2 linked regions of the Astyanax mexicanus genome follow. The protein of the gene in region 1 binds, or shares a complex with, the protein of each later gene. Links are inferred from orthologs where the notes say so. Each region holds a gene or a part of one and is shown on either strand. Other genes may lie near its edges.

What was found.
Region 2: the proteins of pigt (region 1) and pigu are in contact, whole or in part, in a cryo-EM structure (PDB 8IMX), measured with the Homo sapiens proteins. The link is inferred for Astyanax mexicanus from reciprocal best matches to the Homo sapiens genes PIGT and PIGU. Residues at the interface, in NP_057021.2 of Homo sapiens: Tyr361, Gly362, Leu363, Gln364, Lys365, Arg394, Leu395, Tyr396, Val397, His398, Tyr416, Pro418, Ala419, Gln420, Asp421, Arg422, Gln445, Glu447, Leu450, Leu451, Lys452, Trp453, Thr454, Pro518, Thr519, Pro520, Asp521, Phe522, Ser523, Met524; in NP_536724.1 of Homo sapiens: Glu30, Lys42, Arg43, Val45, Glu46, Ser49, Leu50, Leu53, Val55, Ser59, Gly60, Ala61, Val62, Pro265, Asp266, Leu267, Pro269, Leu273, Trp275, Tyr276, Phe277, Phe278, Ala279, Glu280, Met281, Phe282, Glu283, Phe289, Phe293, Asn296.

What each region holds. Positions count from the first base shown.
Region 1 is NC_064420.1:28,983,496-28,999,481, reverse strand, and holds the start of pigt (GPI transamidase component PIG-T), read right to left. Parts: upstream 7,284-15,986; 5' UTR 6,842-7,283; coding exon 6,514-6,841; intron 5,472-6,513; coding exon 5,294-5,471; intron 4,047-5,293; coding exon 3,919-4,046; intron 3,836-3,918; coding exon 3,735-3,835; intron 3,640-3,734; coding exon 3,553-3,639; intron 2,966-3,552; coding exon 2,878-2,965; intron 2,788-2,877; coding exon 2,690-2,787; intron 2,415-2,689; coding exon 2,258-2,414; intron 268-2,257; coding exon 67-267; intron 1-66. Other genes in the region: phactr3a (phosphatase and actin regulator 3a), read left to right, coding at 9,884-10,115. UniProt on the Homo sapiens protein: Component of the glycosylphosphatidylinositol-anchor (GPI-anchor) transamidase (GPI-T) complex that catalyzes the formation of the linkage between a proprotein and a GPI-anchor and participates in GPI anchored protein biosynthesis.
Region 2 is NC_064412.1:58,068,104-58,084,617, reverse strand, and holds the start of pigu (phosphatidylinositol glycan anchor biosynthesis class U protein), read right to left. Parts: upstream 6,776-16,514; 5' UTR 6,753-6,775; coding exon 6,623-6,752; intron 5,472-6,622; coding exon 5,407-5,471; intron 5,305-5,406; coding exon 5,245-5,304; intron 4,314-5,244; coding exon 4,251-4,313; intron 3,873-4,250; coding exon 3,763-3,872; intron 3,190-3,762; coding exon 3,089-3,189; intron 2,823-3,088; coding exon 2,725-2,822; intron 2,388-2,724; coding exon 2,233-2,387; intron 2,042-2,232; coding exon 1,898-2,041; intron 1,352-1,897; coding exon 1,227-1,351; intron 840-1,226; coding exon 697-839; intron 1-696. Other genes in the region: uncharacterized protein si:dkey-6e2.2, read left to right, coding at 7,195-7,237, 8,712-8,996, 9,078-9,153, 9,347-9,659. UniProt on the Homo sapiens protein: Component of the glycosylphosphatidylinositol-anchor (GPI-anchor) transamidase (GPI-T) complex that catalyzes the formation of the linkage between a proprotein and a GPI-anchor and participates in GPI anchored protein biosynthesis.

The sequences.
Region 1 (15,986 bases):
ATGCTTTATAATTTACTTTGACCTAAATACATTATTCTATTTTCAATAATTTGGACTTAAACGTACTTGGCTTGTTCTCACGTGTCTTGCTTGTGACAGTCAGTGTGTGGATGTACAACCGCAAGTACCAGGGCACTGAGTCCAGCAGGAGTACGGGGAATGCTCGGTATGGATGGTTATTGTAGATCAGGGTATGGATTTCCCCTGTCTGAAGTCCAAAGCCTGCCACATAGCGCTCTGCATGGAGCAGAGGTCGCAACATGTCACCTATAACAGAGAACAGTTGTTAATAATAATTTTTTTTTTTTTAATTGTTTGTTTTTACACATAGGAAAAATTCAACCAAGATGAGTTACTATATACTGTGAGAATGTTCTCTCCACATTTTTGTCAAGACATAGCTGTGTAGGTGGCAAAAAAGTAAATACAGGAAGAAGGTCCTGTTTTCTCAACTAATTCATATTCCTGTACAATTGAGTACTTTTGTTCTCAGCTGTAGTAATTACCTGGGTAATAAACCAAAAAAAAAATACATTGCTCAGCTAAACCCTGTGGAGTTCACCAAACAGTAGAATCAGATCAAGGTCAGTTCATGCACTAAAAGTAAAAACAAACCTGAGTCCAACATAACCAATTACTGTATTTTTCGCACAATAAGACGTACCTAAAATTCTTTAATTTTCCCAAAAATCGTCAGTGCGCCTTTTAATCCAGTGCGCCTTATGTATGAATTTTACCAGTCAGGTTGTATAGAGCAGTAAAGCCACTCCACAGAAATACAGTGTTATACAGGAGTTTCAGTTTAGCTCTCCAGCACCGGGGCAGGAGTAGCATTAGCATTAGCCGCTAATCGCTATTTCCCCGTTCAGAGGTGAGCCTGTAGCCTGCTGCTAACCCCCAGCTAGCACTGCTGGAGCAGCATTAGCCGCTAACCACACTGACTCTCTTGCCGTTCAGAGGCGAGTATATCGGACTGTAGTCTGCACGTTTACCGTGTTAAAACAAGCTACATGGGACAAACAGGCAGATAAATTAGATGCTAATCGGCAGCGATTAGCTGCTAATGCTCCACTCTTAGTGCTGGAGAAATACGGAAAATCTAAGGCCACTGTTTAAAAAAAAAAAAAAAAAAACGCTTTACTCACCCAAATAAACAGTTGTCAGGATAGAAATCTGTGTAGATTAACAGCCGTTTGACTTTAAAAGAAAGTATTTTTTATTACAGTTTAGTTTACTTAGCTTAGCTTTACTTAACTTAGTTAGCTACCGCCCCCCCCCCCTCCACCACCACCACCACCACCACCACCTCCTAGCGGCGAGACCTGCTGAATTAGAAGTTCCTTGTAATGTCTCTTAAAATGGCCTTACAATCCAGATATATATAATAATATAATAATATATAATAATATAGACCAGAAACTAGACGTTCATTCATAGTGCGCCTTGTCCACCTTATAGTGCCAAAGATACAATAATTTAAAAAGTGCAGGTGTAAAAACACCCTTAATTTTTCATGTTTGGCTGCTTTGACACCAAACTGCTTCAAACTAACGGCAATATGAAACAGGGCACCTGAGTGAACCTATACTAACAGAACCTAGATGTACTTGCATACTAAATAGATAAAGGGGATCATCAACATTATGAAGTGTTGACCTTAAATGCTTTTAAATTGATCCGAAGCAGTACATACTAAATACTGAAGACAAAAATGTATAGCGAATATAATAATTAATGAGAAAAAATATATTTTCTGGACTTTAAAACAGTATTTTTAAGATTTGGTCTTTTAACAACCAATGCCAAAATCAGAAGGCTGTGGAATACATTTTAGGAGAAAATCTTCAAATCTACATCAAATTTCAGCGCAGGACAAGATTAAGTTAGCATTCCATGAAGCCTTAGTTAATACTACAGCCAGTTTGTTTGTTTTTTTGTGTTTTACTTAAAGATACATGGTCAGATTCATAAAAAGTAGCTCATATTAGTTTGTTATGACACTTTTATAGTGCTTTTTGCCTTTTCATTAGGCACATCTAGTACCTAGTACCTGAAACTAAGTCCACTAGAGTTGAATAGTGTAGGTACCATGTGGTGGACAAAAATGTGTAGTGAATATAATAAGTGAGCAAAATCTATTTTCTGGACTTTAAAACAGTATTTTTATGATCTGGTCTTTTAACAACCAATGCCAAAAACTGTGAGGAAAGCTGTGGGATTCATTTTAGGAGAAAATCCTCCTCATATCTGTGCTTACCACTTTCCCCTTTCCAGCGCAGGACAAGATTGAGTGAGCGCAGCTGGCCAAAAGTCTCTTTTTTGGTCAGATCATATACAGAGTAAGTCCTGCGATCACCAAGAACCACAGCTGTGCTGAGGAGAGGGGTGACTGGGCTCAAGTCAAATAGCTCCCCCTGTTGGGCAAAAAAGCATAATGTCAACTGATGTCAAAGCAAACATGAACATCCTGTAGACCAGGGGTGTCCAACTGTGTTCCTGAAGTACAGTTACTTGTACATTTCAGCCTCGAATCTAAATTTTACTCCAACACATCATCTTTAACTCAGCTTGTGTTACAATAGAAAAAACATCCTCCAGTAACAGGACTGAACATCCCTGCTCTACCACATATTGAAACAGCACATTCTTCAGCTCTTCTGAACTTTTCCCAAAGGGCTTCATACTTTACCTCCGGGTTGTCTGTGACGTCTACGTAAACCTTGCTTGAAGATGCTAAAGGGCAAGCCTCCGTTAAAGTGCGAGAGAACATCTTGAAAAGGGACCACTCTGTAAAAAAAAGAAAATATGTTTAAACAGACAAACTGTAATACAGAGATTGTGTACATTTTATTGCATAGTTTATTAAGTGTCACTAACCTTTTTTGCCCTGGCCAGAGGTGTAGATGTCAAACACTACATTGAGAGTCTGTCTTAGTTCCCATGCTGTGCTTGTACACTGCCAATCCTAATGACGCATCAAGAGAATAAAATAATATCAGAAAATGTTCCATAACTATTTCAATAAAAAATGTTTATATTAAAGGTTTTAGAATGTTCTGTCTTGTAAAGGTAACATTTTAGAGATGTTTTATTTAGTTATTTTGTGGTTAGCAATGAAATATTACAGTAAATACATCAGCAAACTCATTCTGCTTGAAGCATTCCATGAAGCCTTAGTTATTACTACAGCCAGTTTGTTTCTTTGTGCGTTTTACTTAAAGATGCACGTTATGACAGTTTTATAGTGCTTTTTGTATTTTCATTAGGCACATATGGTACATTAGAGTTGAATAGTGTAGGTACCATGTGGTGGGAAAAAAAAAAGCTATGAAGAAGCAAGAATTTAAATGTCGTACACAAATGATACATTATTGTGTGCAAAACTTGACTTAAGACTTCAATTTTGGTTACAGTTATTCAAAGTACAAACCTAAAAAAAACTTCTTATACACAAAGCTGTTACAATTTTTGATTCTTTAAAGAGAGTGTGAAATCGTTGTTTTTGTTCCTTCTCCACCATGTGACCAATACGGGAAACTCATAGGACCTCACCTTACAAACAGGTCTGATATGCACAGCCTGAGAGTGAAAACTGCTATGGAAGAGCTTCTCAGACTTCAGCAGCACTGCTAGACCAGCCTAGAAAGATCCACAGAGCATTAGCTTGATTATCTTGACAAACTCAGATCAATAGACCTTGTGCATCAGAGTAGACCAAATGCAATGTTCAGCACCTTGGAGCCACAGGGGAGGAGCTTCTTCCAAGGAGTCAAATTCTCAGTACAGACGATTTCGCGCGGCAATGTGGCATAACGCAGGAAACGATGATCAGTAACTGCATGAGGGAGAACACAAAGTCTGTGAAATTGATATAGCAAATAAGTGAAGCAATAAAATAGCTAAAAGACTCAATAATACCATTTCCAAGTCCCAGGGGTTTAAAGGAAGCACTTGGCTGCACTGTGTTTGTTGAATCGATGAAATTTAGAGATGCGCAGAAGATGCCTGACAGAACGTTGACAAGCTCCTTCCAGTTTCCATCCACACTGTAATACAAACAGAGGATCAATTCAGTTTGTTTGTTTAGTGACTTAAGGAATTTTCACTGCTATAGTAGGTTTCTGAATCTGCTAATGAGTTTGCATACTTGAAACTCATTGCACACACGCCAAAATGTGTCAACAAACCACATGAGAACATTCTCTTTATTTATTGCTCCGATCTGTCTGGAGTTTGAGTAAATACAGGAAAAAGATCCTGTGAATATTTATAGTGCATGTTTCTGTGAAGTTTCACATGGAGCAGGAGGAGTAGGGTTATTTACGCACAGCTGTAATAATTATCTGGATAATATACCAGATTAAACTGAATATGGGGCTAATTTATATAAAAAGAGTATATATTCAGAGTATGCCCCATAGGTGTGTAAGATCAAGGTCAGATCACATTTTCACCACAAACAAACTATTGCAGTGTACATTTGTACTGTACACTGTACAGAACCGTCTCCTCTTAAGGGTTTCATTTGAGTGTGATTACTGTATTCACACCTGCACAAACAATTTGGATCATGTGTAAAAAGGGTAAAAACTAATTTACTGGAAATAGAGCAGGGGTGAAAATGCTCCTATGTTCTAAAAACAATGCAATTTAAAAAAAAAAATGTATGCTGTATCCCAAAGTGATTTACTAAAAGCCTGCAATTACTGTAGTAATCATCTTTTTTGAGCGTTATAAGTAAACATATTTTTTAAAGTCTTATCAACAGTTGAGCTTTTCAATGAAAAAAAAAACAATAAATTAATAAAAAGGACAGAAAAATAAAAGTAGTTTGTCTGCTTACATAGATTCCCTGAGATATTTATAAACAATAAATAAATGTTTAGATTTTAAAGGAAGATGTTGAGATTATTCATAAATAATTTAAATGTAAGTAAAATACATTAAGTTGTAGCTACTAGTGCTTGAAGTGGTATCAGTACATACCAGCAAATGGTCATTGATTTAAATATGACAGAGTTCTCAAAACACTCACCGTTGCATCTAATTTAAATTGAATCATAAAGTCTCCTAAACAACAAGGGCCAATCATTTTCCTGGTTAGGCTGTGAGCAAGACCATAGCATTGACCCTGCTCTGTTCCATTCATATTTCAACCAGTGATTGGTCTCCTAATTTGTTTCTTTAGGAAGGGTGACTTGATGGGGAGATCTGTGCAAATCCAGTAGCCAGAAGTAGCTGAAAATCACAGCAATATGACTATTTAGCTGTATACAGGCACACTGTTACTTACTCTTCCACAGTGTTGTGGAACCACACCCAGAGCTCAGCCCCAGGAGGAGAGGGGATGAAGGGCTGCCCCCACTGCATTGTCCTCCAGTAGCCCTGGGTGAAGGAGATATGCAGCTCCCGCACAGAAAACTTGGACAGCACTTGGCCTAGAGACTTTGGAAAGAGTCGGTAATGGGACACTGTGGGTGAAGGAAAGAACACAAGACGAAACAACCATTAGTCTTTAGAGCATAAATGGAAAGACATATGGAATTATGTAGTAAACAAAAAAGTGTTTGGTCTCCACAATCCCCTGATCTAAACCAAATCCCCTGATCTGGAGCTGCACAGCCTGAACGAAAAGCAGCAACTATTGTTCAGCACCTACAGCAACTCCTTCAAGACACTGAGAAAACTATTTCAGGTGACTCTACCTCATGAAGCCACTGAGATTAAAATACCAAGTGTGCAGATCTGTCCTCAAAGCTACATGTGGTTCTTAGAAGAATCTCTTTTTCATATTATGTTTTATTAACACTTATTTAAAAAAAATAATTATTAAGTATTACATTTGCAATAAAAACAGACAATACATTAAATAAGACGAAGTGTGTCCTAACTTTTTTGTACTATAGGTTATATTCACTAAAATACATAACTACAGCACAGACTGGGCTGGATCCCAATAACACAATGTCTTCTCTTCTGCTAACTTTCTGAGCTATACAGTACTGTGCAAGCAGACATGTGTACTGGAACATATTGTGGACAAATTATATACTAGATGGTAAATCTAAACACTAGATTAAGAGTTTTTGGGATGTTAGTTAACCTAGGTTGGCTATTTAGCTAGTGTGTTTAAACAGGCCGTGGACTTCTCAGATGCTAATAAACCACGTAGAGTTAACGTTAGCTAACACTTAGCTTCTTTAAACTGGATGCCCACTTTTTTTTAGCTAATTAGTGTTTTCCCTGCTCCCAACACATCTAATCTACAATTTTAGCTCATTAACAGCCCATTCTGAAATTACCCTGGGTCTATTAAAGCAGAAAATGAACTGACATATGCCCACAGGACCCGGCTAGACAAACACTAAGCTAACTAAACCAAGCAAAGGAAGGTAGGCTCATTCATTCAGATATTGGGACACAGCCCAAACAGCTAGCTAGCCTGCAGCTAGGCAGGAAGCAGCTCGCTAAATCAAATTAAAGGCGCACAGCTTAGCTATAACATTATACAACCTTTTTTCCCGTGGTGCAGGAAGTCTGTATCCCACTGTGTTCTGAACTGGAAGCTGGCGTATATATCCCCGGAGCGCAGAGGTCTGAGCACCAGCTCCTCGTCGCACTGGTCCGGCGGGCTGACCGCTCCTCCAGCCGCCGCTTCAGCCGGCTCATCTGCCTCACTGACCGGAGCGGCCACGGGGCCGCCGGAGCTCACCGCTGCAGACTCGCTCTGCCCGGGTTCAGAACTGCTGACGGGTCCCGTGACATCGTTCGGTTTTTCCACACTATCACAATTACACGACAATATTAAAGCACTCAATATTAAAACACACAGCGCTGCCATTTTCACCACTACAGTAACCACCCTCACTCCTCAGCTCCGCCTCCTAACGACAACCTCCTCAATGACCAATGGGAGCGCAGTATCTGTACGAGTACCACCATCAACACTGCGCACGCTTTGCGCAGAGCAATGACATTTAACCCTTTCAGACATGCACAGAGAGTTTGGCCCAATCCCATATCAGACCTTGGCCCTGGGAAGAGGAAAGTTAAGGGAAATTAAAGGGAAAGAGAAGAGGAAGGGGTGGCTTTTTTTAGACTGAGATTTTTCAGGCTACGTTCACATTACCGTTCGTCCACACCGAACGCGATGCGAGCGACAAAGCAGCCGGAAGTCATTCATTTTCAATGAGAGCGAGCGACACTGGGCGACAAGCAGCGACGCGATGCGAAGCGGGCGGTTTGAGCGACGCGAGAGAGTTGACTGTCACTCCCCGATCTGTACCCCCTGCCCGATTTGTGCCGCGCATGCGCACGCATGCGCACTGCAAACTGAGCGAGATGAGCAGGGGCACAGATCGGGTAGGTAATGCCAAGGTGTACTTCCGCCCACACTGTCGCAAACAGCTCGTACACTGTGGTGTCAAAATTAAGGATTTTAAGTTTTACAGAGCTGTGCAGAAGACATACAGTGCCCTAAAGTTAACTAACCAGCAGTTGGGATGCTGAACCTTAGCAGTCCACTGCTATATATCTGTATCAGGTGCCTGAAGGGCTGAATTTAACTTTTCCCTAAGTAACTTTGTCCCAAGGGAAAGGATAACAATCAAAGAGAAATGGGATTGGGCCTAAGTTTCAAAATGTAAATTTTCCTTGCTTGGGTGCCGCACACAGGAGTGTAATGAAGTACAAATACTTTGTTACCTTGCTTAAGTAGATAGTGTGGTTATCTATACTTTAATTACTAATACTAACTATTTTTCAGGCAACTTTTTACTTATACTACTTACATTTTCACATAATTATCTGAACTTTCTTCTTCTTACATTTTAAAAATAGCCTTGTTACTCCTATTTCATTTCAGCTTGTGTTTGCATGAGAAGTTTGCAGCTTGTGGTTGCATGAGAAGTATAAACATATACCATTCCGACTCCCTACTGGTTTATACACAATTCATCCCCTCTGCAAATGTCACGCCTATACTCCAGCATAAACATAGCAGATGTATATAATCTAGTATGAAGATGATTCGTGCCTCAAGAAAATGGAGCGAAATGTCCCAATTATGCTTCTTTAATATATTTACACTGTACTAAAATGCATTAATTTTCAATGGGCATATGTGCAGCTGAAACAGGGAGCCTAGTGCATCTTCATTTTTTCAACATTAACCTTTCAACATAAAATTATAGTCATTATGTATTTTAGAAAAATGTGTTTTGGAGGAGGGTAATGCACTGTAGACTCCTCTGGTGCAGCATAAGCCTTTGATGTCCTTAATGGCATTTTCCCCTTACATTACTTTTACTTTTATTCTTTAAATTGTTTTGAAACCAGTACTTTTACACTACTTGAGTAAAACGCTTGAACTGACCTTTCAACTTCTACTTAACATTTTTAAACCTTGTATCTATACTTCTACCTGAGTAATGAATGTGTATACTTTTGACACTTTTGGGTGTGTGTGCTCAAAACATATCACCAAATAAGCACATGTAATGTCTACTCTGCTTTTTTTCCCCCAGAGTGTTCGTCTGGTTTTGGACCATAACCAGAGATATCAGAGTCGTACTCATTACCTTTGTGCCTTCTACATGCTTCCTGCCAATGCAACTAACATCACTGGGTGCAGGTAAAATGTTTTCATAAGAATTGTTTGCTGATTTTATGAGGTTTTATAACAGAGATAAGAGATAGCAAGAACATTGATGCAGACATAAAATATTTATTTATTTGTTAAAATGACATATATTATACATATAGATATATTACATAGACATAGATTACATTCAAACTATATAAATAGATAAACTATGCAACTGATTTTTTTATGGTTAACAGTGTGAGCACAAAACTTATGTGACTAAAACCATTTATTAAGGCCAGTGTATAAAAATTACTATGGTTGTGGACCTTAGGGGGGGAATATGGAAAATGTTATCTTTAAATGGGCACTAAACCCCATGATTTTTGCTGACTGCACCCTTAGCTCAAATGTAAAAAATGCTTAAAAGAAAAAAAAATTAAAGATGTTATTTGGGTGGGGCACTGGGTGATGTATGGGTTTAGGGGTGGGGCAGAAGGGAGAGCTGATTCAGCTGAGGGGGCGGTATTATTGACTGATTGCATATCAAAACACATTTTTCTCGCCTATAGCACAATTTAACCTGTGAGGGCGTTGCAGAAATGGAAATGGTCGCAATAAAAACATTTTTTTTAAAGGTTAAGAAATGTTTATACATTTTTAAGCAGGGCTAGTATGTATTATTACTTCAGAGGAACACATTTCAGCTGTTAATGAAAAAAAAATGGTTTAGGGTTTAGTGCCTCTTTAAGACGTGCAAAACATGCCAAGCCAGTCTTACGAGCTCATATACCTTATCACCGTAAACTTAAAAATCACGCAGTCACATCTTCACACAAATCAGTGAGATTGTATTTGTATTTGAACATCTTTAAGCAGCATCACTAACCGCAGCCTGTCTGAGTAACACTAATCAGCCCTCTGGCTGCAGTGTCACCGTGCGGTCGCTGGGGGCGCTGTAGCGCTGTCTGAACTGAGCGCATATCTTTTGAATGGATGCTGTTGTATTGAAACGCCCCGTATATAAAAACACACGGCTCATGAAAAAAATCACACACACAGCCATTCCTTTATACATCCAGCAAATCAGAGTCCGTCAGTGCGGTCAAACGAGGCATGCACACACACTCACACACACACACACAGTCACAATACCTACACACACAATCACACACACAAACCCTCCCTCCCTCCATCCCTCATCCTCCCCTCCACAGGCGCGCGCATCCTCCACACAAGCAGACGAGCGCACACGCGCGCACACGCACACTGGGCTTCTAAATCAGGCATGCTCGCTGGATGCTCTTAGCGGCTGTCAGACCGAATCACGTCCGTCCCTCAGTCGGCTGTGCGCTGACCTTGACTGCCTCCCGGGCCAGCATCATCGTCTTCATCATTCCTGCGCTCCTCGGCTTCTTCATACCCATGGCTTGCTCGGACGAAGCGGAGAAATGCCTCCTGCACAGGGGCAGGTCTCAAAGTGACCCCAACATCCTCATCGAGTCCGGCGGTGATTCAGCGCGCAGCTCAGGTAAGCAAGCTAGTGATGAAACCTGAACCTGCTCTCCTCCTCCTTCTCCTCCCAGAACGCGCGTCTCTCTAAACCGGCGCTAAACGGCATTCACTTAAAGGATCCGAGCTCAACACGAGCAGCTAAATAGATTCAATTACATCCCCATCTCATCTCCCCGGATCTTTACTATCTCTCTCCCTCTATCACTCACTCCTTCACTGCTGCTGCTGCTGCTGCTCCACACCGGGCTCTCCACACAGTCTCCACAGGCTGCAGCTTTGTGTGAGAGAACCAACCCAGCAACCCTGCAGCAGCAGCAGCACAACCCACATGTGCTAGCGAGCTCATATAACCAACCATGGGGGTCTCTCTCTCTCTGAATGTCACTGTCTCGGAGTCTGACTGAGCAGACAGGAGGCTGGCTGCTTTGTGTTGACTGTGTTTTCTCAGTGGAGAGAAGGAGCTGAGGGCTCAGGGCTCAGCCTCTGTCTCCACCTTCTTCCACCACCAGGGCTGTAGCAAATTCATATTAAGTCCTTAATGAACGTTCTTGCACGATATAACGATATTATATCACAGACTGGCACAGAAACGTGTTGAATAATTATATAATGCTACGTGGATTTAATGGTGGGGTGTCTGTTGCCATTTGCGCACGCGCACTGGCTTCCACCGTGAGCATGGGGATTGGCGCCCCTTGAATGGAGCAGCAAGCGACTCACGCTAAAGAGCTCGCTTTGTGGTGTGTGGAAGCTGAGGGTGGCAAGAAAAACCGTTTATCACGCTTTTTACCTCCCTAAAGGCCTGTCACGATAACTAATTTTAATGGACGATATATTGTCCAAGCTTTAAAAATGATATTTGTAATAATATAAGGATGTTATTGTCATTTTAAGGCCATTCTGGGACACTGCTATAATTGTAATGCAATAGCAGAATAATGCAATTTGCACCGTTTTAAAGAGCACATTTTTGCACAGTCTGAAATATTAATATTGTGTACAATAGGTTGATAATAGTTTTTTAGACAGTATGTCAGTTTCTGTTTTCCATGAGATTGACAATACAGTAAAATCGTTGTTCAGTTTGACAGTACTACTGCAGGATATCTGGTAGATATTGACTGGTTAATCAATATCCAGACACAAACATTATATATATATATATATATATATATATATATATATATATATATATATATATATATATATATATATATATATATTATTATTATTATTATTTTATTTATTTATTTATTTTTTCCAGGGGGTAAATACAAAGCACTTCAAATACCTGCCATTTAACTCACGTTTAATTACTGATATGCTCGATATGCTTTAAAAGCATATTGTCGATACCGTAATAAAAAAACGTGTTGAATTTGTGAATTTGACAGAATATTGTCATATTGCCCATCTCTTTATGGTACCCAGGAAAACTAGCACAGGTAGGAATACATTTCTTAGTATGCAAAAAAACCCAAAACATCCAGTTTGTAGGCTACCTGTAAGTTTTGAAGTTCATACGAGTGCTCAGTGAGTGAAAAATCTATGTTTTTGCAGGTTACTAATATGACAAAATCATACAATCCTGATTACCCTACCGTATGCGGCCCAAAGGCAGACCAACAGACCTGAAACAAACAGCAGCTAGTTAAATAATAGACTACAGTTCATTCAATAATTTAATACTATATTAAATACATATCACTGATAAACATGCAGTAAAGGTCCTCAAAGCAAACAACAGACTCCACCAATTAGTAGCATCCTATTAAAAACAGCTAGTTAAAAGTACCACCAATATGCAACCGCAAAATCAAAGTTGGTCTACAATAAAGAATAGCAATGTTTGACTGATTTGCAAAATCTAAATGTAAACAGTAGTATGTCAGCTGGCAGCAGCGTCCAAGAATGTCATTTAGATTATTTTCAAAGAAGTGCTAATTGTCAATACTAATAATATGTTTTTGCATTCCCAAATGTCGCAACTGTCCAAGCACTGGCCGTAGTATCATGAGGTTGCCAGTTTAGTTCCTATTGATGCAGCTAAAATAAATGGCCAGGATTTCCAGGCAGCACAGGGGTTAGGATGACCCTCTCTATCCCCAAATATTTTTTTTTGTGGACATATAACATAAGGAAGAGGGACGGCACTAGAAACTTCTCTTCCTCTCCTCTTCTTTTATTTTCTGTGAGGAAAATTTGCACCCATCCATGTGCCTGCATGCTTCCACGTTTGCTCTCAATCACTACACAACAGAGGGATCTAATTTCACCAACTCAGTAAACTCAGAAACCTGCTTTGGAATTGAGTGTTATATTTACACCCTCGAAACACATTCTCTAAACTCTGTGGTTCTGTAGTTTTAACTCATGCCCAAGCATCCTTGAACCATTGCCATGCTTGGAAAATTAAAATCCTGACTGTGACCTCCTAGAGCTCTATGGTGAGCAAGTAAGGCCGTCCTGTTCTGGCATGGTGGACTATCAGCAGGTGTCCAGCACAAAGAGACAATTGTAATGGATCCTAGTTTGTTAGTCCGAGTATGTAGGCTGTCACCGCCTCATTCCCTCTAGTCGTGATAAGCATTGGTTATTACAGACCAATGGGATGTGGCCTAATTTTTTATCATTATCATTTCACATGCTTTGCATGTATAGCAACGCTGAGTGCTGACTTTTTTGTGTGTTGTGTTTTTCAGCTCAGTTATAACTCTAAACCAGTGAACAAGGTCACTCTAGCAAATGGCTTTGTTCAGCACTTTGGCGAGTTGTACTGTGTGGATGCCCACCCACCACCACTCTCACTAGTGAGAAGCCCCCTGTGTCACACACTCATGGACAAAAAATACAATGCACTGGGAAATAACTGTTAGAATCAAACGAAACATTCTGTGTGTGATTCTGAATAATGTTGACTTATGCAAGTGATTGGATAAGTTAATCACACCAGCAGTTGGGGGAGTATGTTAATCCACGGCAAAGGCAAAATTGAAACGCTCACTATGAGGCCTTCCTAGTTGAACTTAATTGTCGTTGTATTCCAACCAGAACCTGAATAAGGTTTCTGTCTATAGCAGTTCAGGTTTCTTGTTCTTGACACCACCTAAAACAAAGACAGGCAAAATGGTGGGAAATTCATAAAAAAACATTGTGGTTCTCTCAATCCAATAATGCACCCCCTCTGAAAGTCACTCAGCATGTCTAGCAGGCAACAATCTCTCACCAAGAGGTACGCTAACCAAAAGTAGCCCCTGAGAGCCTTTTTATAGACACTTTGTATATGTTGGCAAAACCCAGTGTCTAATCAGACCACACCTGTAATTATTTATGTATCTGCCTGAGACAAAACTGCATTCATAGTATTCCAGGAACCTGGAATGCGTTGTGTTTTTGTCAGTGAGTGCACATGACACTTTGTGTCTAATTTTAGGCCTTTTTCACTAAGAGCTGATATTCCGAGTGACGTCTGATCACTGGCTGATATACTGTGCAGTGCGAGGCTGTTTAGTCTGCACCCAGTGACAGGTTAATGTGCTCTGGGAAATGATTCATTTGATGATGCATGGTTGCATAGAAAAAGTCCTTATTATAGAGCAGATGAGAAAAAACACAGAGGCTGGGAGAAATGAAAGAGAGAAAGGGAGAAATTGAGAGAAAGAGAGTAATGGAGTGAGTCTTCTGAGGTTTGCTAATGACTCTTGCTTCCCATTGACTCGTGCCAGTAGAAGGTACTGAGGGTAATGCATCAGCTTCTCCCTCAGCTAAGTGATAATTAATTAAAAGCCTGAATGCCACACAGCCAAACTCTCTCATGCGCTTCATGTCTGCAAAAGACTTGCTGCATCATTGTGGAGGAGAACAAGTGTGTGTATGTGTGAGTGTTTTCCTTGCTCACTGTTACTCGTCAGCCGAGTGGAAATCCCTCAGATGTTGTGTTTTTATAGTAATTTCCATTCAGAAAGCATCGCATCTTAAGGTGAGTTGAGCTCATCTCAGAAAGCTCATACTAGCATTCTAATTTTGTCCATATGATTTTTTTCCTTTGGTTTCAAGCACAGGTGTGCAAGAAAGACCTTTCACTGAATATTTTTCTCAGTAAAGCAATATTATTAAAATTTTAAGACAAATTCATGGCACTAATGTAATGATAATACCGTGTAACTGCATTATAATTCAATTTTTTTAAAAGAATATTTGGACAGTTCAACTACATTATAAACAATGTAAATAAAACTGTTTTTAAATGTATTTTTACATAATACATTATTCACATTCCTAATCTTTTTTGAAAAGCCCACCTCCGTTCTCCCGCAGCTTTCTGAGATCCAGTTATTTTGTTCTTTTTGCCCAGCACTCTTTACTACAGCCGTTTAGGGGCATATTTTGCCCCGATAAATCACCCTTTACACCGTTATTCAGGCTCAAAGTAGCTCCACACCTCCGTGGTAGAATCTGGAGAGCTCTGACATTTAAAACAAGGCATTAAGAACTTTAAAAGTGCACACAAATCTTATTTAAAAAACCCTGTTTTGTTATATATATATATATATATATATATATATATATATATATATATATATATATATATATATATATTGTTAATAGTTTTGGTACCTTAAGGAGCATCTTTCTCTCAGATAAAGTTAATAATAGGTTTTTGTTCAGTTCTTTTCAGTCAGTTCAGTTTGTTAAGGCTCTAATTGTTCTATTATTTTGTACATGACCATGTTCCTGTATTTTATTATTATTTATTTTATGTTGCACATTGCTGTTTTAATAGTGCACACTGCTGGTACCAAAAAAAGCCACTAGATGGCATTAAATATATATCTTAATTAAATGATTTCAATTTGACCATTAGTGCCTAATGTGGTGTATTACAGATCACTTGTATCACTTTGCATCACCTAATCAAGCCCACCTTTTGAAATAAGATATTGTAAATTTGATTAATCAAACCAATGACTGACCATAGACTCATCTAAAACTGGCATAGGCCTCTCTGCTCTAAACTGATCATAAGGTGTTACCTCAGGCATTATTAAATAAGGGAGAGGCACCATGTCCAAAAGTTGTCCCATGCTTTCTTTCATTTTCTGTAATGGAAAATTTCACCTGTCCATTTACCTGCATGTCTTTCATGCCTGCTCTCAGTCAGAGAGCAAGGGGGGGGTCCGATTTCACCCACTCAGTAAAAACCATCCAGAAATTCAGTCCAAACTTTTCAGAGTTCCTTATCCCTGCGTCCAGTTTTTGAAGTGGTCAGCACTTGCAAACACTACTATACACTACATGCCCAAATGTTTGTGGACACAAATCTGTGCAAATCTGCCAACAAAGTTAATTGTGGCAGCTTAGAATAATCTAACATTTAAAACATATTCTGGTTTGTTTACTTTTTGTCTGCAAAATAAGTCCCTGTGTGTTCCTGTATAGAGTTTATATCTTAAACGTTAAATTTACAATGTAAATAAAAAGAAAAGAAAGAAAACACATGGAATGAGAACAGATGTGTCAAAATGTTTGACTGATACTGTATGTACAAATGCACACAGCTTTAAGTCTTTGTAGAGAAGTATAGCTGAAACACAGTACATGAACCCATTGACACTGTGGCTAATGCCAGGTGTGGGTCAGCTGTGGAGCAGGAAAAATGTATTCTCTTTAATGACGATGCCTTATCCATCATTTTTAGGATGAGTTTATGAGTTGGAGCACTGTCTAAGGCTCACTCCCATTTCACCCCTTGGCCCTACCATTTACCCCTACCCCTTCTTTTTGAGTGTAAATCTTAGGGTGAAATCCTCCATCCTAAGAATTGGAAGGTAGTTACCTAAATGCTGGTTAACTGGTTAACTTTACGGCTTTATCGTATGTCTTCAGA
Region 2 (16,514 bases), on another chromosome or scaffold:
CAGCACCTCACCACAGACCTTCACTACAGAGCTTCACTACAGCCCAGCACCTCACCACAGAGCTTCACTACAGAGCTTCACTACAGAGCTTCACCACAGAGCTTCACCACAGAGCTTCACTACAGAGCTTCACCACAGAGCTTCACTACAGAGCTTCACTACAGAGCTTCACTACAGCTGTAGACTGATATTCTGTTGTGTGAGGAGCTCTGATGTCTGTGCTTTACTCTCACTCAATAAACCACTTCCTGTTGAGCAGGTAAATGAGGAGGAGAGGAAGTGATGTCAGAGACGAGAGAAGGGAAATAAACACACTGCAGATCTGTGGAGTAACCGGGTCACTCAGCACCGTCAACACGTCTGTTTCTCAAGTATTTTGCATCAGTTTTATCTGCTGAAAACATGTTTAAAATGAAAGTAACACACCTGTTCCCTGTAAAGAATAATCTGTGTCTGATTTGAGTGTAAATGATTATATTTGGGGTGATTATATGTTAAAGATTCTCCTTTATTTCATTTACAGTGTTTTAGCCCTTAAACCCCTGATCCTGAATCAGATACTTTAAAATATCTGTTACCTGCATGTGATATATGATTTTTATATGATATTTATATGATTTTTATATGATATTTAGATGATATTTGTTGGGTTTTCTGTATATTAAAGTGATGAGGGAGAGAGCAGCGAGTAGATACCTGTCCCACGTTGAACAGCAGCGTGATGGCGTAGTAAAAGTTGGAGTTGGCGCTGCCGGCGTAGATCCACAGATGCCAGAGAACAGGAAACAGAGCCGAGCACGCCAACAGCACACACGACACCAGAAATATATTCCTCAAAACTGCAGGAGAAACACAGCTCCAATTAAACACAGACACAAATACAAAATCCACACAGAAAATCTACTGATTTATTTTATATTTATACTTACTAAAGCAATTTCAGCTCATAACTGAGATAATTCCAATAAATAATGACTACATTATCTATATTATCTCCCGATATCCTAATACACAGATCATCTTACAGATAAAATTTATATTTCTCATTCGGTCACATTATTAGATTATTCTACTTAAAAAAAGGTAACAGCAGAATTAAGATACGTCCTCTTACTTCACATCTATTTTGCTTATTTTATTAAATAGAGCAGGTAATGCAGCTCATATCATAAAATAATGCAGATCAATTAGCAAATTTTAGGAATCATCATAGTTTAGCTCCTCACATCTGTAGAGATGACTCCACGCCGGGAGGAAGGCCATGTACAGGGCGATGTCTCCCACAGTGGGGTAGGATTTAAAGATGGAGATGATGGCGATCTGCATGAAGATGAGGAACACCGGGTGCTCCCTGCAGCGCGCACACACACACACACACACACACACACACACACACACACACACACACACACAAACACACACACAAACACACACACACACACACACACACACACACACACACACACACACACACAGATACAGATACAGATCTGAGATCAGATAAACCGCTGTTCATCGTGATCACATATTTACAATCACCAATCAGAAACAGAAAAAGAGTAAAAGTAGTTGAAATATTGAAAATAAGCACCAATTGTTTTTTTTTTTTGACCTTTTGGTTCTTTGTAGTACTGAGACATTTCAGTCGGTGCCTTTAGGTATCAAATTTCATAACCCAGCCCCTATTGATAAACTCTCTAGATATGGGGTATGGAAGTGGGACTTGGGGAATGAAGATGGGCAAAGTTCTAGTTAGAAAATACTGCCTGAAGCTCTGCTGTCAGTCATTAGACATGTTTCCGTAATATCTGATGATACATCCTAATGATTGAATGAGTTTCTACAAAAATCTAAATCCTTATTAATTCTTTAACAGTATTTACTAATACAGACTTACTTCAGTTTGATGGAGAGAGGGATGGTGTAGAAGAAGACGTTGATCTGGAAAACGCAGATGAAGAAGAAACGGAAGTGTTCGAACATCTCAGCAAAAAAATACCAGAACAGCCCGATGTTCGGAGTGAGATCCGGTACTGAGAGACTGTGGAGCGCACACACACACACACACACACACAGTTAAACAATAGAAAGAATAGAACAATGAAATATAGGGACAGGTAAATAAGAGCGCAAAATGAAAAGTGTGTACGCAACACTGGTTCAGTTCAGCGTTCACTACAGATATAAACGTGTTCCGTTCTGCTGTTTTACCAGAATCACAGGAAAACGTACATGAATCCATAAACAGAGGGGATGAAATCCCAGGAGCCGAGCAGAAAGAAGGAGAGGCAGATGATGACCAGCAGACTTCCCACAAACATGAAGCCGTACTGCAGAGTAAACAACCAGAAACTGCTCCTGCAGGGATTCACCGGGATATACAGCCTCTGAGAGAGAGAGAGAGAGAGAGAGAGACAGAGACAGAGAGAGAGAGAGAGACAGAGAGAGACAGAGAGAGAGAGAGAGAGACAGAGAGAGACAGAGAGAGACAAAGAGAGAGAGAGACAGAGAGAGAGAGGCTCTTCACACAAATCATCAACATAAACAATAATGTGAACAATTGCTATTTATTATTATTGTTAATTTTCATCAAGTACAGTGTAAAAGTGGATTGATATTTGCTGTATTATTTCTAAAGGCTGTGTTGAGTTTGAGGAAGTGTGAGCTGATCATCACTGTACTGTAGATCTGGTGCTACAGGTGAGTGATACAGCTGCTGCTCACCTGTAAGAGGAAGAGGAGGGCGGGGGCGAAGAGGGTGAGGGGGTAGACGCTCTGATACGTCGCCAAGGCCAAGAAAATTGCACTCAGCAGCGCACTCCCTAAAACACAGCAAACACTGATCAAACACAAATATCTGTGTTACAGCACAGCTATACACTACCTGCTCCATACAGACTGATCTAAATCTGATATAAATCACCTGTACTCATACAGAATCCAGCACTAACATACTAATATAATATACTACTAATATACTAACTATAGTAATATACTAACTAACTAATATAAAACCCACAGTAAAAAATCCTACAGCTACAGGTGTGGAAATAAACACTGAGAAGATAAGCAGGTGTGTATTACTCACCTTTTATAGTAGAGAGGATGAAGAGAGCTATAACTGCATTATTCAGCCCACAGGTCGACTTCGCCACACAGGACAGAATCGTAAACGGATTCAACAGGTAACTGTAGAGCAGAAAGAGAGATATTACTGAAGAGGACAGAATACAGTACTGATATCTACAACCTGACTCAGGTTTAAAGGAGATCTATCTTTAATCTTAAGTTTCCCCAGTATCCCCAAATACAGCACTTTTAGCTGAATCTCCAAACAGGTTTATAATGTTAGTGATAGGAGCATAGAGTTACCCATATAAGGAAATCACTATTTTTACACCATAAACTCAAACTCAAAGTAGCTCCAAACTTCATTTGTAGAAGTCTGAGGGCTCGTGTTAAAATAAGCCATGTGGGCAGAAATTCGAGCTGATAGACGTTCACATATAGTGCACCTTATATTCCGAAAAATACGGCAGTTATCTAACTAATTCCATGCAGATGCATTTATTTATATCATGCCAGATATTAAACTGCAGGACTTAAATAATCTAATAGCTGATGTTCATGTTGTAGCTGAATGTGTTTAACGCTACTGCATGAAGTTTAGATTTTAAATTATGCTAATTCTACGTCTTATTCTGCGAGTTTATTGGCTGATGAACCCAGAGTTTACAGTGCTTGAGAGAAGTCACAACTCACAACGTCGCCACTTTGAGAGGGATGTAGAACATCTCTTTAGGGGAGCGCATGAGCTCCAGACAGTCGGGTGGGTATCTGTTGGCCTCCAGAGCGTATTTCTGTTTCCTAAACTACAATAAAACACAAGCAGGTTAAATTCACCCCTCAGTAAAGACAGATTACCTTCAATTACCTGTTTAATCAGCAGATACACTTCATTAATAGAACAGATCAGTCTAAATCACAGTAACATGCTGAACACTGAGACAAATTTAATTCATAATTCTAGACCACCTAAAGTATATGAACATCTGTATATTTATTATGCTCGTTAGAGGTGTGAGGAGATGAGGCATGATATTGAGGACTGCAGAGAGAGTTTCTGCAGTACAGAGAGATGAACTCCGCTCTGATCTGTGTGAGGATGTACAGTGAGGACTGATATAAACAGTGTAAATGTAAAACTGAACAGTGTCTCACTGATGAAGACGAGTCCTCCTCTTACTCACCACATTCCTGTTGTAGTTCTGAACAGCCAGATACAGCGCCACCGCCGTGATTCCATCTGCTATCTGCAGAGAGAGAGGATTAACACAGAGCTGTGACTCAGACCAGATCACGCCTGATTCAGATACTCTCTCTTCCTCTTCATCATCTGTCTGTTACAGCCAACACTGCTCTCGCGCTACAGCAGGACTCTCTCTCATGGGAACGCGAGTGTGTTACATACACACACAACATAGAAACACACACGCAAGGTCGCGCTGAAACTCGCTTTACATCAGGGACTCCCAATCAGGAAAACATCAACTTTAATTCTGTTTTCTTCTTCTAATTTTACCAAATTTTCACACAGCAGCACAAACCCAACTTTTACATCAACAATAAACAGAATAGTAAATAAAATAACATTGCTGTTCCCGTAAATGAGCTGCTGGAGCTCCTTCACAGCGTCAACCAGCAGCTCAGTTTTACTCTGCTGAGAAGAGTTTGTTGAACACGTCCAGGTAGCTGCACCGTTACAATAGCAATCCACCAAAGACAGAGCTCACCTGATCTACTCTTAAAGAGAATGATGAAGAAGAGACGCTCTGATTGGTTTATTATTTCACGTTACGCCCAAAATTATAATAAACTCACACCCATGATTAATTAAGAGAATTAGTACAGCCTTTTGTGTGTTTCAACTTGAGCAAGGTGTACTTTTCCCGTTGTTACGATAGCAAAGACACACTGACACCACGCCCTACATCAAGCTGCATGGTACACGGTTGGACTATGGATGACTAAAATTGAGCCCATTGTATTCATACCTATACACACAAGCACAGCTAGTATAATATGGAGGATAGAGGAAAAGAGAAGAGTGTGACAGGGATGGGATTTATTTCACTTTCTTGCAGAAGATTTACAATAAATTGAAAATTATACATATTTACTATAAACACAGACAGGGATATAAAGAGAATGAGACGTAATCAATATAAGACTTCAAATACTCACCATAAACACAATCTCTGCATAGTCCACAACAAAATGAAAGAGGTATATGATGAGGGGCGTCTAAAACAAGGGAGAAACACAGACACACACTAATCTCTAATATCTGCAGTAAGCAGTGATTTAATAAATCAGATCACACGTCTCTGAAACTACAGAACTCACTTCATGAAACACGTCTCCTGAGTACGGCGAGACTCCGAGGTCCAGCAGCGCCAGGCCTTCCACCACTGAGGAACACACACACACACACACACACACACTGTTTTAATACTGGAGATCTGCAGAACTCAGTATTCATATTCTTTTACTGTTTAGATCAAACTGATTGACTAGATTTGCTCCTGACCAGCACAGGGTATAATTCCAGTTGTGTGTAAGGGTTTATATTAGATAAGAGTATAATAAAATGCTGTGACATGATAAGAAGAATAAACTAAAATAGAAAATGATCAAAATAATGTGATGCTGTGATTGTATATATATAAAATAAAAATAAGAGAGCACTTTAAAACGATGAGTTTCTTTGATGTTACCAAATTGAAAACCTCTAGAATATAATCAAGAGGAAGATGCACCAGGAGTAAAGCAGCATAAAGTTATCCAAAAGCAGTGTGTAAGACTGGTGGAGGAGAACATGATGCCAAGGTGCATGAAAAAAACTGTGATTAAAAACCATCAGGATTATTCCACCAAATATGAACTTGTTTTCTTTGCATTATTTGAGGTCTGAAAGCTCTGCATCTTTTTTGTTATTTCAGTCATTTCTCATTTTCTGTAAATAAATGCTCTAAATGAGAATATTTTTATTTGTAATTTGGGAGAAATGTTGTCTGTAGTTTATTGAATAAAACAACAATGTTCATTTTACTCAAACATAAACCTATAAATAGCAAAATCAGAGAAACTGATTCAGAAACGGAAGTGCTCTCTTCATTTTTTACAGAGCTTTATGTATGTATAACATTAGATTAGCTAATTTAAAGCTATAGCTATATATATAAACTGTTGTCATTTTATATGTGTTTAAATATGCACTATTCCTATCACTGAATGATAAAACATTGTTTATTAATTGTAATAACACTAGTAGTTAACTGATAGCAGCTAGTTAGCTTAGCCTCGCTCCTGACAGGAGGTGGGGAACCCAGGTCCAGAAAGTAAAAATCCAGCCCCGGGTTTTGTACCCACTGCCAGGTCGCCTCTGCTGCGGGAGCCGCTCAGGCAGTTGGTATAAAACCCTGGGATGGAGTTTTACTTTCTGGACCTGGGTTCTCCACCTCTACTCCTGATCCATTAGAGCTGCATTAGCAACATTAGCTACATCCACAATATCCCCGCACCGCTGCGGCCCCGAGCCCCGCAGCGCCCCGCAGCCCACCTCTCTTCCACGCGCTGAGCGGCGACACGACCTCCACCCGCTCCGAGATCAGCTCCGCCAGGCTGGAGCGGAATAAAACCGCCCGAACCGTCACCGCCAGAACCAGAACAAGCGTTAAGGGAGCGGCCATCTTCACTGAGGAGACGCGCTAGCCGCCCTCACGGCGCGGGGTGCATTGTGGGAGGTGTAGTTTTTAGAGTAGCGGTTTTGCAAAGGCTCCCTGGTTCGGGTGAACCCGTAGGAAACTACAACTCCTAAAAAAACGCTTTTAAAAATCACCCCCCTTACTTCCCGTGACGACGCCGGAGTCGGCTTCTTTATTCGCCAGCTTCTTTAACCGAACTCCCCGTTCCACCTTAAAAATCCCAGCAGTTCCGTTCAGAACGCGCGCAGCAGTTCTAATGTACCCGCAGCGGTTAGAATGGAAAAGCTGCAGAATTTAAGGTGGACTGGAGAGTTCGATTAAGAAGCTGGCGGACAAGAAGCCAACTTCACCCTCGGCTTTTGTCGCGTGGATTCAACCTCCTAAAAAACATTAATCACCGCGATAAAATAATCATTTAGCGATCTTTATGTCTTCACTGAAATTAAAGCTCAACCGAAACCGATTAGGAGGTGAGCGCGCTTTTTTACACCACCAAAAACTGATGTTAGCCTAGTATTGATTTTAGTCTGCTAGGAGTGATTCTTACCGTAAACAGCGCCGCGTTTTATCCCGAGATAATTAAACAGGAGGATCAGCGGCCTAATTCGTATAAGATACAGAGTATTAAATCATTTTATGGCTCAAATTTTGCATGCATTTTTATTTTAATACTGATTTTAGGCTTTATTTCCAGTTTTTAGTGCAGAATGATAAAAACAGAGCTGCTGTTTTCTATTAGGCCACAGGAGCGCCTGTGTGTTTATATATAAAAACAGACTGATAATAAAAGAGCAGAGGCTGCTGGGAGTCTGTCTGTCTGTTCTGCTGCTAAAATTATGTATTTTTAGTTAGAATAGTAAAGCAGCTAAGCTCTGTTTTAGAGCTAGAGTTGTGTTTTTGTGATTTTGTGTTTTTAATCTGATTAAAGAGCTGATCTGTTACAAATATGCAGTTTTTAAATTTAATATAAGGGCCAGGGATGAGATATGTGTTCCATATTTAAAAAAATGTCCTATATTATTTAAAAAGTGAGGATAAACAGGCGAATCTCATGCATATATCGCATAGTTGTTTATGGTAATATATAATGTTTCTGATTTAATGAGAATATGGGTAAAATGAGATTTTTAGTTAAGCAGGAGGCTTATTCTGCTTAGATATTAAGTTTTAAATCCTTTTAAAATCCTTTTATGGCTCAAATGTTGCATGATGTAGTGCACTTTTTGTATTGGTGTTTCCATGTTTTTTTAGTAAATGCATGTTTTTTCTTTTTTTTAGTTTACTACATAATTTTTTCACACAAACCTTACAATGTATCACAATTTTTGTTGAATGCACCTTTTTTACATTGACTCCCATTGAAAGTGATGAAGGTTTCATTTCTGTCCTGTAAAATTGCTGTATTGTAGATACAAGATAAAACCCACTGCTGAGCAAAAAGAACATTGTTCTGTTACATCTGGTGTAAAAGTAACCTTTCAGAAAAAGAGCATCATACTACAGTAAAACATGGGGGTGGTAGTGTGATGATCTGGAGCTGCTTTGCTGTGTCAGGACCTGGGAGACTTGCTGTGATAAATGGAACCTGAATAAGAATCTCCGTCCATCTGTTCTTGACCTCAAGCTGAAGTGAACTTGGGTTCTGCAGCAGGACAATGACCCAAAACTCTCCAGCAGGTTCAGCTCTGATTGGCTGAGGCAAAACCGAGTGAAGACTTTGGAGTGGCCGAGTTAAAGTCCTGTAATTACTTTCATGTGAATGGGTGTGGCTGATCAGCTGTAGATTGAGTAGGCAGGGTTAAAGTGCAGTTATTGATTAGTGTATTTATGTATTGATTAGTGCATTTATGTATTGATCAGTGTTTTATTTATGTATTGATTAGTGTATTTATGTATTGATTAGTGTATTTATGTATTGATCAGTGTTTTTTCCCGGTCCTGTAGTTGATCTGTACGAAGCTCCGATGAGGCCGCGGAAGCCGAACTGGTCGACGGAGCAGAAGCTGCTGCTGGTGCAGCTGGTGAAGGCCCGGCGGATGGACCTGCTGACCGGCCGGCACTCCTGCCGCGAGATCGCCACCAACCGGCGGTGGGCGTGGGACGAGATCGCCGAGGAGATCTCCACCGCCCACCCGGACGTCCCGCGCACCGGGAAAGAGTGCGAGAGGCACTGGTTCGTGGAGCTCGCTAAAGCTAAAGAGGCTATGCTAACCCATCCGTCACCCACAGGTGAGCTAAGCCCATCCCCCTCCACCTGATTATCTGATTATCCTGTTTATTAATCAGTTTATTATTGATTATTGACTGCAGATCACGTCAGCCCCGTTACCAAGGTCGTGCTGGATATTCTCAAAATACAGAGAAAGGAGGCGGAGCTTAAAGACAGGTAAACTTTCATTATCATATTTACACGCATTTATTTCTTTATCTAAAGAGATTTATTTTTACTTTTTTACGTTTTGTTTCCATTTTAAAACTTTTTTACTTTAAAATATTTTATTTCGTTTTATCATTTCTGTTTAATGAATTTAGTCTGTCTGTCTGTCTGTCTGTCTGTCTGTCTGTCTGTGTGTTTTTAGATTAGAGGAGGAGAGCAGCGTGATCTTCGAGGAGGATCAGGTGGAGGTGAAGTACATCCCCTCTCCGGTTCCTCCAATCATGAACATCGAGCTTCCTGTCAATCATATAAACCACGATATCGTCAGACACGAGATTCCTCCTGTGAGTCCTCCTCGCTCCCCCTCCCCCTCCCCCTCCGCCTCCGCCTCCGGCGAGAAGACGGATCTGGAGATGGCGGTTCTGCGGCGTCAGGAACGGGTTCTCCAGCTACAGGAGGAATATTACTCCCTCAAAATCAAACACCTGAAAGCCCGGATGCTGATGGATCTTTGATGTGAGAGAAGATCCGCGCGGAAACTGACTCTTATTGCCTTAATAAACACTAGAACTCCGGTTTAGAACCTTTAGAACCTTCAGGACTGAAACTGCTGAACCAAAAGACGCCGAGCAGAACCTCCGCTTCCTCCTGAACCTTCAGCCCGAGGACCCGTGGTGAACTCCAGTGTTCAGAGTGTGATATGACACCTTTTCACCAGTAGATGGCAAGGTGGAACTTTATACTCTCAGTAGTGACTCTGTTTGAAGATTAGAGGAGAAATCTGATCAGAGGTGGTTTCAGGTGATCAGACCAGATTTCTCTGATTAAATAGAAATAAAAGTAGCATTTCTGAAGTTAAAACTAGCTCCAGATGTAGATTTATCTCATTAAAACGTTCAGATTCAAAGCTTTAGCTGGGAGGAACGATACGCTGGTGAGTGAAAACATCTTAAATTTAGTGTAAATATCAATATCAATTTCTTTTTATAATTATTTAACTTATTTCTACTAGTTTTAAACGTTTGTATTCAGTGAAATTTATCTTATTCTGTTTTTTTCAGCATTTGTAGCAGCATTGTGTCTTAAACAAGTCAAGAGACTTTTATAGAATAGAATAAGATAATTAATGTAGATATGAGTAGAAATAGGTCATTTAATAACTAGAAATAAGTAAAAGTATCTTCATGTTATTTTATGATATATATGTTGAACATATTGACTGGATTTAATATGATTTCTCACCAAATGAACTCACAGCCCAGTTTTCAGTTCAGCCAATCAGCCATAATATTATAACCACCTGCTGAGTGTTGTTTAGGTTGTTTAAGATCTGTAAGTGATATAAAGTCCAAAAGGATCAAACGCCTCCATCCGGTCGGTACTGAGCAGTGCATTCTGGGAAAACTCCACAGGACCTGTCTGATGTTCTGGAGATGTTCTGACCTCGTCTGCTTTCCATTACATGTTTGTTTCTTGTTAAATTTACGGACTGTCCACTTCCTGCCTGATGCTGCAGATCCAGTATCATATCAGATCATCAGGACTTTTATTATGACAGTATTGTTCTGATTATATTTGATCGACTGTTTAAACAGGTTGTTTCAGCCCTGCTGATTCTTCAGTGCATGTTCACAGTGTTTAAAAATGAAATGAAATGATTTAAATGAATGAACATGACGAATAAACAACATTAGCAGTCAGAAGTTTGGACACATTTGCTTAAGTATCAGGTTTTTATAATAAATGCTTGACAAATATAAACAGTCCATGTTGCAACTGCGTAAGGCGTATCATTATGCCTATTGCTATCTTACACCCCGTCAACAGTCTATTTTCCCTCCTTCCTCCTGTCTGGTTTAAACAGCAGCAGATCTTCTGAATATATCTACACTGATGGGCGTGGTGTTCTGGAAATGAGGTGTGTTCAGGTACATTTCTGGAGTTTTATCTTGTTTATCTTGGTTACATTATGATCAGGAGATTGTTTGTTCGAATCCTGATCGAATTGCCCTCAGCTGCCAGAGCCCTGAGAGAGCACAGTTTTGTTCTCGCTCTCTCTGGGTGGGTACAGTACAGTAGATGGCACTCTCTCTTTCTCCTCATCACTCCTAGGGTGATGTGAATCAGCACAAGGCTGCATCTGTGAGCTGATGTATCAGAACCGAGTCGCTAAACTACTAAACTACTAAAACTGCATTACTGTACTCACTCCTCGATGCTCGACTTCCTCTCAGCATTAAAAACTACAAATGTTCTGAACTGTACCGCTGCAGCTCTGTGACTAAAATTACACCCCGCTCTCAGCTCTCCACCAGCAGCAGAAAAAAGAGAAAGTTCCTCAGAGTTTACAGTGGGAGGCGAGTGTCACAGAGGAAATGTCAGTCTTAATGTGAATGATTTTCTGCAAAGCTCTGGAGGCCGTGCTGAGTGAGATTACACTTAACTCCTACCTCCTGAGGTGGGCTGCTCGCTTCAGGCCTGGCAGGAAGACTCTTTCTGTTTTTAGCTCCAGTTCTGTCCTTAACTAACAGCAAGATCCCCCGATTCCCTTCTGCTGGAGTTCAGTAAACTACAGTATATACAATATATATATACATATATACAGCTCTGGAAACAAATAAGAGAGCACTTAAAATGATGAGTTTCTTTGATTTTACCAAATTGAAAACCTCTGGAATATAATCAAGAGGAAGATGGATGATCACAAACCATCAAACCACCAAACTGAACTGCTTGAATTTTTGCACCAGGAGTAAAGCAGCATAAAGTTATCCAAAAGCAGTGTGTAAGACTGGTGGAGGAGAACATGATGCCAAGATGCATAAAAAAATAAACTGTGATTAAAAACCAACCAGGATTATTCCACCAAATATTGATTATTTCTGAACTCTTAAAACTTTATGAATATGAACTTGTTTTCTTTGCATTATTTGAGGTCTGAAAGCTCTGCATCTTTTTTGTTATTTCAGTCATTTCTCATTTTTTGCAAATAAATACTCAAATACTATAATAAATAACAATATTTTTATTTGGAATTTGGGAGAAATGTCTGTAGTTTATAGAAAATAGAAAAAAATACTTTAAGAAGAAATGAAGATCAGTCAATCCGGAAAATAAGAGTTTTAAGAACTTTGAAAGTATTTAACACAAAACACTATGAAAAACATTATAATGATGAAACTGGCATTCATCAGGGCCAGCTCAGGAAAGGATAGAAGAGCGAGAGTTTCCTCTGTTGTACAGAATAAGTCATCAGAGTTTTCAGCCTCAGAAACCACAAGTTAACAAACAGCTCCTCAGATAAGAGTATCTAAATACTTCACAGTGTATTTTGGTTTGTTTAACACTGTTTTTAAGTTACTACATGATTCATTATGTGTTCCTTCATAATCTGATAGATCATTTTACTATTCATTTATTAATGTAGGATAAAAAATAAAACATTGAATGAGAACTGGTTCAGTATTTTCCTAAGAAATATAAAAACGTCCATCATGCTGTGGAACTGGAGTGATGATGAAGATTGGAGTGGTAAAACTAATGGTCCTGAAGACTGAATGCAATCAAATCAAATCCTCCACACAGCAATGTTTCAGGAGCTAATGATGGCTTTATGAAAGGGAAAGTGTAGAGACTGTTTTTGTGCTAATGGAGATAAGAAACAGCTCTATCCTTCAGAATTCATGATGCTTTTTGATTTCAGTAGAAACTCTGTGAATGATTGCCCTCACAGCAGCCGAGGTCCTGATCTCAGGTAAAGGGGATGGAGGTGATGGTGACCTGAGAGCTCGGGTTCAGTTCTGGTTCAGTTCTGTAGAATATAAAGCTTTATCTGGGCTCATTAATGCAGACGGAGTCTCCAGTAGAAATGAAATGATTTTATTACTCCAGCAGGAGAAGCTTAACGCTTCCCTACAGTCGACTCGGGGAAAGACTTTGATAGTGTCAGAGTTTCGCTCTTTTAGCCTCAGCGATTTCTTAATTCCAAATGAAAACTCTGGAGTCAGGTTGATAAACTGACAGTCTGACAGTCTGAAGCTGTAATGTGATGAACAGAGAATCTGAGTTATTAGAAATGTACTGCAGCAGGAGAACGAGGGGCTGGAGTTAAACCCTCCTCCAGCAGAAGAGCTTCTCCTGCACTGAAACAACGACTGAAGCCTCGATAAACACATCCTGAAGAGAACAGCAAGAATATCAGCTCTAAACTACTAAACACCCGGCCAGGAGCTGAGAAATAGAACAAAACCTACTAATATACAGCTCTGGAAAAAAATAAAAATAAGAGAGCACTTAAAAATGATGAGTTTCTTTGATTTTACCAAATTAAAAACCTCTGGAATATAATCAAGAGGAAGATGGATGATCACAAACCATCAAACCACCAAACTGAACTGCTTGAATTTTTACACCAGGAGTAAAGCAGCATAAAGTTATCCAAAAGCAGTGTGTAAGACTGGTGGAGGAGAACATGATGCCAAGATGCATGAAAATAAAACTGTGATTAAAAAACAGGATTATTCCACCAAATATTGATTATTTCTGAACTCTTAAAACTTTATGAATATGAATCTACTACTTGCTAATTAATTAGCAATCTACTATTCTAACTTAAAAAAATGTGTTGAAAATTTTAGCAATCAAAAAATCTACCAGTTACAGGTTGACATTTTAGTAGTATTATTTACTTAAAATGTTCTGGTCTGTTGTTTTACATTAGATTTGGTTAGTGTTATGCGTTTTTTCTTTCTTTAAACTGATATCATAAAATTTAGAAAGTAAATATAAAAGCATATAACTGCTTCAGCAGCTAAACTATAAATACAGAAGTAATCTTATTAACATTAACAGATATAATAGTTTTAATAATTCCCAGAAATCACCAGGTCGTTTCTGATTGATTAGGAGATTATTTTAGTTTTGTGAATTAATAAAAAGTTAAGTACTGTAAAACAGATATGTTTTAGATATGCGGTGCGTCACTCTCCGTCTCTACAGTAACAGTGAGTTTGTGCGAGAGCGTCAGAGCGCACTCTGGCAGCGAGAGCGAGATTTTGAGGGATAAAAGTGGAAGTTAAGTTAATGAACTCCTGAAATGAACGCGGTGGATCAGCTCCAGTCAAATCAATCAGCTCCTGGCAGAGAAACCGGATCCTCCTTCTTACTGAGAGAAACAAAATCAACACCATCGACTCGCTTTCAGAGTTTACTCACAGTCCCACAGCTTCACAGAACTGTCTCACCTTTGATTGTTAAACATCACTCTAATGAGCAAACGGTACACTGTCTCAAAATCACTGTAGTAGTTTAGATAAAGGTGTGTTTACTGTAGTTGTGAGTTTACAGTTCTGTGAAAAAGTATAAAAAGTATTTACCTCCTACATATTTCTATAGTTTTGGGGTTTTTATCATAATTACTGTCAGGAGTTGCAGGGAGAGGAGGACGTGGAGAGAGGACGCAAAACAATGGAGTGTATTTTATTTATATTTTTTTCTATATATATATATATATAAATATGTGTGTTATAGTGTAATAAAAACAATAATAACTATAATTAAAAATAATCTCTTAAAAAACTTATTAAAACCCTATAATATCTTGAACATGGATGTTAGTGTGTGTGTGTGTTGGGGAGAGTCAGTAGTTGAGTGTGTTTATGTAAATAAGGTATAAAGTATCAGCACTTTTCTTCTATTCTTTCTTCTCCTACTGAGCTCCAAATACACCACGATTTAAACTCCATTTATTCACTCTGTCTCTTTATCTCTCTTCAGTTTCTCCAGGTTTATCTTCTGTTCTCAGATCAGTGTTTATTACAGATAGTTGGGGGTTTAGTCCGGGTGGTGATCCAGCCGCTGACCCCCAGTCTGCAGGATCTACACCTGCTTTAACCGGAGCTCTGGATCAGCAGCTCTGGATCAGCAGCTCTTGATCAGCAGCTCTGGATCAGCAGCTCTGGATCTGCAGCTCCGGATCAGCAGCTCTGGATCAGCAGCTCTGGATCTGCAGCTCTGGATCAGCAGCTCTGGATCAGCAGCTCTGGATCAGCAGCTCTTGATCAGCAGCTCTGGATCAGCAGCTCTGGATCAGCAGCTCTTGATCTGCAGCTCTGGATCAGCAGCTCTTGATCTGCCGCTCTGGATCTGCAGCTCTGGATCTGCAGCTCCGGATCAGCAGCTCTGGATCTGCAGCTCCGGATCAGCAGCTCTGGATCAGCAGCTCTTGATCAGCAGCTCTGGATCAGCAGCTCTGGATCAGCAGCTCTTGATCTGCAGCTCTGGATCAGCAGCTCTTGATCTGCAGCCCTGGATCAGCAGCTCTGGATCAGCAGCTCTTGATCTGCAGCTCTGGATCAGCAGCTCTTGATCTGCAGCTCTGGATCAGCAGCTCTTGATCTGCAGCTCTGGATCAGCAGCTCTTGATCTGCAGCTCCGGATCTGCAGCTCTGGATCAGCAGCTCTTGATCTGCAGCTCTGGATCAGCAGCTCTGGATCAGCAGCTCTGGATCAGCAGCTCTGGATCAGGGTATCAGCAGCTCCTCTCCTTCTTTCTTCAGTGAGAGCAGAAGGGCTGATGGTGCTCATGGCTACAGCTAGTGACACTAGGAGCACTAATAGAGCTCTGCAGTGAGGAGCTCTGAAGCTCTCTGTCACCACCGGCTTTGAACACGAGGCTCCTGAAAATAGCTGTAAACAAGCTGCAGAAAAAACCCACCATCCTCTATAGATACAGAGAGAGTCCCTGATCGACACTTTCACACCAGCTCTCCAATATAATGAGGGCTATTCGTGTGTGTAAGCATGACTGCATGACTACACACAACTATAGGTGTGTGTGTGTGTGTGTGTGTTCTTGAAGGTACAGAAATACAGGATATAGCATAAGTTTAACACCGCCTGACATTCACATCTTTAATATAATTCTATATAAAGGTCTTTAAATGTTTCAGTTTTTGGTTAATTTGAAATCAAATGTTAATATAAATCCATTCCAGCATTTCAGGCATATAACATAAAGCTCTGTAAAAAATGAAGAGAGCACTTCAGTTTCTGAATCCGTTTCTCTGATTTTGCTATTTATAGGTTTATGTTTGAGTAAAATGAACATTGTTGTTTTACTCTATAAACTACAGACAACATTTCTCCCAAATTACAAATAAAAATATTCTCATTTAGAGCATTTATTTACAGAAAATGAGAAATGACTGAAATAACAAAAAAGATGCAGAGCTTTCAGACCTCAAATAATGCAAAGAAAACAAGTTCATATTCATAAAGTTTTAAGAGTTCAGAAATAATCAATATTTGGTGGAATAATCCTGGTTGGTTTTTAATCACAGTTTTTTTCATGCATCTTGGCGTCATGTTCT